Linked DNA regions of Saccharomyces cerevisiae S288C. Each later gene encodes a partner of the first gene's protein in a complex. Each region holds a gene or a part of one and is shown on either strand. Other genes may lie near its edges.

Evidence for each region. Proteins that work in one complex are often made in the same cells at the same time.
Region 2: EAF1 (region 1) and EAF6 share a complex: the UniProt entries of both Saccharomyces cerevisiae proteins name them as parts of the nuA4 histone acetyltransferase complex.

Annotation. Positions count from the first base shown.
Region 1 is NC_001136.10:1,193,165-1,196,764, forward strand, and holds the start of EAF1 (Eaf1p), read right to left. Parts: upstream 1,721-3,600; coding exon 1-1,720. Other genes in the region: protein-transporting protein BCP1, read right to left, coding at 2,248-3,099; transcription factor TFIIIC subunit TFC6, read right to left, coding at 3,515-3,600. UniProt on the Saccharomyces cerevisiae protein: Component of the NuA4 histone acetyltransferase complex which is involved in transcriptional activation of selected genes principally by acetylation of nucleosomal histone H4 and H2A. The NuA4 complex is also involved in DNA repair.
Region 2 is NC_001142.9:581,189-584,278, forward strand, and holds EAF6 (Eaf6p), read right to left. Parts: upstream 1,068-3,090; coding exon 726-1,067; downstream 1-725. Other genes in the region: YJR079W (uncharacterized protein), read left to right, coding at 1-51; AIM24 (Aim24p), read right to left, coding at 1-428; ACF4 (Acf4p), read right to left, coding at 1,420-2,349; YJR084W (uncharacterized protein), read left to right, coding at 2,545-3,090. UniProt on the Saccharomyces cerevisiae protein: Component of the NuA4 histone acetyltransferase complex which is involved in transcriptional activation of selected genes principally by acetylation of nucleosomal histone H4 and H2A. The NuA4 complex is also involved in DNA repair.

The DNA of each region.
Region 1 (3,600 bases):
GCCGTTCTTCATTAATACCATTATACAGCGGTAAATCCTGTATTAATGTTTTTTCAAAAGTATTGAGTTCGTCAACAAAGATTGAAAGTTTAAATGGGGGGGCTAGCTCTTTCTTTGATTCTTCGGTTTCGATCAACGCTGATGATGCAGCTACTTCATGTTGTATTAAAACAACTTCGCTTGAGGAGGATGGCTTTTTTAGAAGTAACTTGGTGTCAATAGAAGATATAATTTGATCGTGGGCACCTTCTTGAGATAACAAACCATCTGCAAAATCAAAATCACTCTTAGCTCCTGCTTCATTCTTTCCATTCTCATCATTATCGTTAGCAGCAGCACTTTCTTTTTCAGTAATATCGTCAACGTTCGCAATAATTCCAATGTCATCCTTACCGGCTATGCTAATATCGGAATCATTTCTTGAAGTATCCGATGGTCTACCGGACTTTTCAGATATGCGCCCGTCGTCAGATAATTTATTTTCCTTACCAGGTAGAAGTGTTTTACGTTTTACACAGCATATTTCCCCATAGGTCCAGTAGTCCTTGATTGCCTGTGCCATTGCTGTGCAGATAGCTACTTTATATTTGTGGCCCTCTTTAAAATCTGCTTGCATCCATTTAGCTTCTTCTAAAAGTATGTTTTGATGCGTATTGTGTTGTTTCCACGGATCGATGAATCTTTTAGGTTGTCTTAAAGACCATAATCCAAGTCTTCTTAGTTCTTCTATTCGCGAGCCAACAACAGTAATTCTGGCCTCGTTTAAGGCGTTGTTTATAATATTAGTGGTCAAAGCCTTGTGAGCTCTCGGTATTAGATTAATAAGAGGCAGAGTTTGTGACATGTACTTCAATTCTGCTAAGGGCAAAGCCTGGGGTATTTTCGATGGTATATAATCGTTCATTAATAAAAATACGGTCTCTAATGCGTCAACATTGTTCTCGTTATAATGGTCTGATGTATCTATCTCTTTCGCCATAATGTTCTTTATCAACGGATCCTTGAATTTTACTGCAGGTTGCACCTCAGTGGGATCTGCTGGTGGGTACTCGATGTTCTCATAATAAGTGTAGTGTGCTAATGCATTAGGCACTGGGGGACGCGGCGAAATAGGTAATGAAGCCATTTCCGAATTATTAGAAGATTCCAATGACTGAGATTGCATCTTCTGTCTTTTTTCATGTCGCTCTTCTTCACCTCCCATAGTTGACTCAAGTGGCCTTTTGTTCCACATACCTCCTGTCTTTTCAGCTGGCCTCAAAGAATCCATCATATTTTCACGGATTGAATTATCGTGGCTTGGAACAAAATGACTCTCTGATTTGACTGATACATTTTCGCTATTTTCTGGCAGTTCCCTACTCATTTTAGAATCGGATAGCCTCTGGTTAGGTACATTTATTAAATTTACATCCTTCAATTTCTTTTTTGTTATGGGAGTCGCAGCTGTATGTAGGAGCTTCGGCAGTGACGCCTCGTCAAACCTTATACCCCTTCGTATATCGTTTTTCTTTAAAAATGCATCTATTTCCTTCCGAAGTTTGTTTTCATCTGTTAACTCTAGCAGCTGGTTCAAGCGGGATACGCAGTATAGTTCGGTCAGTTTTCTATCTCTTTCATCAATTAAGTCATCTGCCTTAGGAAATTTACTTCTATCACTGCTCTGGTCCTCACTGAGTGATGCTGAATTAGGCACTGCTGAACTTGGACGTGAGGACATCTTTGAGGCGGAAACTGTACTTTTGATTATGATGTCTCTAAATAATCTTTATATTCTATCTGTTCGGCGGCTAACGCCTACGGGTAATAGCCGGCCTTTGAAAATTTCGCGGCTGCAGCAAGTACGCAAAAATCCTTATCCCTTCTAACGGTTCGAAAGGGGGAAGAACCAGAAATTTTGTAGTTACGCCGCAAATACCTGTATGCCCCGGCTCAAAATGCTCAACACTTATATGCTGACTATGTTCTATAAGGCTCAGGGTGAATGACCTTTCTTGAATTACAATCTGATTTCACTTTGCACAATATATACTATGTATTTTTATTGGAGCACACGACATTAAAAAGATGATCGCCCAGAAAAATTTTCAGCGGTGGCGGATTAATTTTTACTGTCCTCGGCAGCCCAAAATTATCCGTGTAGGATGACATAAAGGCTCAATGGCCGCTGCTGCTTCGTCTGTTAATAATATACAAATTGCACTAACTGTGCAGGGCAGTGATCGCAACTATTTACTTTTCGTAAAATTACCAAGTGGAAATTTCTGTTTCCAATTCATCGATACTTTTGACAAGGCCTTCGTGATCAAGAATCATGTATGAGCTGATAACACCCTTTTTAGCTTCTGATTCGAAGTGAATCTTGGCATATTTTTCAAAAAATCGGTCCTCCTCATGAAAGTAGTCTACTTCATCGGCCTTCACCCTTTTTTTGGATCTTTCGTCTTTGTTTTTATTCCTCTTACCAGAGTCGGTATCATCGTCAGTGTCAAAATTTACTTCATACTTCCTGGTGACGATGATATAGAAGTCATAATGTTTGTCATCGCCAAGTGCCGTGGCAACATCCTCCAACGTAATCTTGTATAAAGGTGGAACGACTTCCGGTGGCATATTAATCAGCCTTTCACTGAGAACCAAAGCACAATTTTTATTACCACTATCAATCATAGTTTTGAAGAAAGTGGAAAGTCTCATGTCCACTTTTTGTAAATATTTGACATAATCACTTAGATGATTAGCTTTGAAATCAACGAATGAAAGAAAACAGTATGGATCAGATTCTTTGCCGTCTGTTTTAATTGTGGTGGTTGGGGAACCTAGGATCAAATCTGCCAAGCTGCTTAGTTGAATCCTGGTACTTTCTTGAGGACCAAATAACTGACGCAGTAAATTCTTTAAAGCATGAAAATCAACTTCTGGGTTACCACCGAAAAAATCGAAGTCAATATTTACGATCTCTTCTTCTCCATTTTGCTCTTCTTCATTTTCTGAATCGGTGCTACTAATGTCAATTTCAGACTCGTCACTGCCATTTTCTTCCTCCACATTTTTTCTCTTCCTATTTTTTAAATCATTTAATTTGATAGCTTGAACCATATTTGTGAGTTAATTAGCAATCCTATGAAAATGTGGGCCTCATGAACAATCTAAATGATAAAATTATAAGGACATAATAGATAATATATTGACAACTCTTTTTCAGATATTTTTTCTACCTCAATCTCATCGCGAGGAATATAGGCACGGAAAGAGAAACTCGTATAAAGTGACCACGGATATCGAGAATTTGATAATTTACCCTTAACTGAAGTTATGGCACAATATCTGTATAAATTTTAATACATAATTTGCGGCAGGAATAACTGCAACAATACTCAAAGTTATTAGTGCTAGCCAGGCGATATTTTACATTAGGCTATTTTATTCCTTTTTCATTTCAATAAAAAAAGATAGTTTTTTTCGTCAACAATAGTTCAATGTCACAAATTGTATTTATTACGTAAAGTCCATCTCATGACAGGTATTCGAGTGTTAATAGTCCAGCACTATTAGAAAATGCATAACATTTGCCTCCAGCGCTCGTTTCATTCCATTTTG
Region 2 (3,090 bases), on another chromosome or scaffold:
TTCAGTACGGACAAGCTTCTTGAAGAATCGAAAGGTCTTCTCGATGTTTGAAAGTTTGGGGCAGCCAGAATTTCTAAAACGGAGGATCCAATAATTCTATGAAACAATGAAGATTTGAATGAACGAAATTTAATCAGGTTTGACCAAAAATTCAGCCATTTATAGGAAAGGGATAAATGGTTCAAATTGTGAATGGAAACTAGGCAATCCTTTTTGATACAAATTGGAATATCTGGTTGAACAGTGATAGATGCAATTTTACCATTTTCGTCTACTAGCCTGAAACGGGAAGTCGCAATATCCTTGCTTAAGTTCTCGATATATGTCCTTTCTTTAGTTACGACATTACTCTCCGTCTTGGCCGCTTGTGGGCTCAAAAGAGAAATTGATCTCTGCCAAACTCGAGTATTCACCCTTGGGCTTATCATGATGGGTGGATATCCTTTTCTGTGCTTCTGTTTTGTTTATCTGTATCCGTTTATTCGCCAGCCAATAAAATGACTGGGAGCACGGGACCTTTGAAATTTTGCCCTTGTTAGTAAATCGTTATAAAAATACTTATATAGATATTTTATAGAAAATGAAAAATAAAAGAAATAGCCAATATGTAGGTATATCGAACTTAAAGGTCACCTGTCGAAATCATTTCCTTCTTCTCTCTTTTTCTTTTCAATCAGATGTTTTAGAGCGGTCAAGCAACGTAAATACCAACGTGTGCTATCGCATTAGTCGTTTTGTGATTGGCCATGCTGCTGCTTCACGTACGTAGCACTACTTAATGAAAAAATACGATCATTGTTATTGAATGCAGAATCTGCATGGCTGTGGTGTGACTTGGAGAAGGTATCAAACCCTTTTATGATGTTACCAGAATAGTGTGATTTTGACCCATGGGCTCCCCCATGACCTGAATGGTTGTTATTACTATTGTGTGAGAAATACTCGGTCTCTTTATCATATATCTCTTGTTGTAAGTTGTCAAAGGTATCTTCTTGCTCTCTTCTATCTTGGAGGGACTTTTTTAGTTCCGCTTTCAATGCTTCATAACTTTTCAGCTCATCAGTCATTTTCTTCTAGGCGTAGGTTGGTAACAAACGGAAAGATGATGGAAAATGGCTGTTCTCTAAAGATGTTTATCTTACGTATATTCTTTGCTTTCGTTGTGGCTTTACACACCTTTAATCATTAATTTAATGGCATAGTCGGCAAGTTGTTGAAGGACCTGGGTTAATCGCCTACATGTGAGGTTTTTTTAAAAATATCAATTACATTTAAAAAAGGAAAGCAGTAGTACCAAAAATCGGGCAAAAAAAATTTACCTAAATAAAGGAATGCATAAATGAAGCCGTTTAATCTTTGTATTTAATGAGAATATTACATATGAAGGTCTCTTGAGAAAGCATCAATAGTGGACATTAGCTACCTTTTAAATAAATGAACGGGTATGTCACCCATGGGTTCAAACTCTTCATCATCCTCGTCTTCACTGCGTACTTCATCGTATTCGTAACCCAAATTTTCTTTTATGTAATAGTGATCTTTCTTACTTTTCCTCTTTTCCAAAAGGTCATCGAATTCGTCCTCTTCCATATTCATTTGATTGAATTTGTTAAGTATTCTTTGTAAGAATGGTGTGTTCTCCCCAGCAGTTGCCGTGGTATTAGCATTCTTCATAGTATTCCTTGGGGGTAGCAAGGGAGGACCCGATGTTGGAGTTGATTCTGAACTACGGCTTGGAGCAATATTTTGCATACGTTGTGACCGATTAGGCGGAGGGTTCGGTTTACGATTGGGTAGAGTGTTATTTATGTTGCTATTAACATTATTATTGGGCTTACTAAAAAAATCGTTTATACTCTTTTTTCCCTTGAGCATATTTGGTGAATTATTTACGTCCACAAATGTCTGTTGAATTCTTTTGGTAAAAGTAGAGAGGTATTCACTTGGGTTCTGGTTACCTAATTTCTGTTGTCCATTTCGGGGCAGTGTATCTTTGAACTGTAACTCTAATTGTTTTAATTCTTTTTGGGCGACCTCTAATTTGAAACTAAGTTCATTGATTTCTCTGTGTTTTGCAGCTAATTTATATATTAAATCTTGGTCTGTTGAAATCGGACTTGCGTGGTCGCTCACGGGTGACTGATTTGTCGTAGATCTTTGCGGACTTGATATAGGTATAGCAAGTCTTTTGGGCTTTAAAGGTGTCGTAACCCTTGGTGATTTTGATTCAGGCTGCACTTCATGTTGTTTTTGATGCGGCTGTTGCTGCTGTCCTTGGGAGTGTTTATCGACAATCGACAGCTTATGTAATTCAATTGGTTGACTAATTACACGCTGGTCTTCTGACATTACTTTAGGGCGTATGTATGGATGTATTTTGTATTGCTTTTGGCTAGTTAGTAGTATTCCTCAATCGTATTGTTTTTGATTTTGAAAAAGCTAACGATAAAGGTCAGGAAAAAAAAAGAAAATTGTATGTAAAGGAATGTCTGGAGAGAGTTACACAGGAACAGAAAGGTCCAGCAACGGTTTCTACAACCAATCATGGATGTTGATATAGGATGTTATTTTGAAGAGAAACGCTATGACGACAAACTGTTAGACTTCATCAGATATGACGTTAAAACACCTAAAAAGACTAAATATATACTACAAAGGCCTACGGCGACAGATGAAGAGAGTGTACGATTACAAAGGTTTTACCAATTAGGAGTAGATCTAAAATTGAAGTATTCCAAGCGGAGGTCATTGAAGAAGCAAGGGCGGATCAAGAATGCTACTGAGGAATTGCTGCGATTAGCCAATGAACAGTTGAAACTTTTCAACAGAATAGTAGAAAGAGAAACCAATTGGATAATTTATCCGCTGTGGGTAATGGCTAAACAATTAATTCGTCTGGCAAACGAATCTAGTGAACTTAATAAAGACTCAATTGAGGAATGTGGACGCACTATCCATAGAAGCTTTACTATATGCCTCAATGATAGGAACCCAAGATTGAATGAAAATAAAAAAATCGGGTGTTATATGTTTGCTAATCTAGAGTTTTCCATCTACCATCGGTTAAGTAATAAAGATATGATTAAAAAT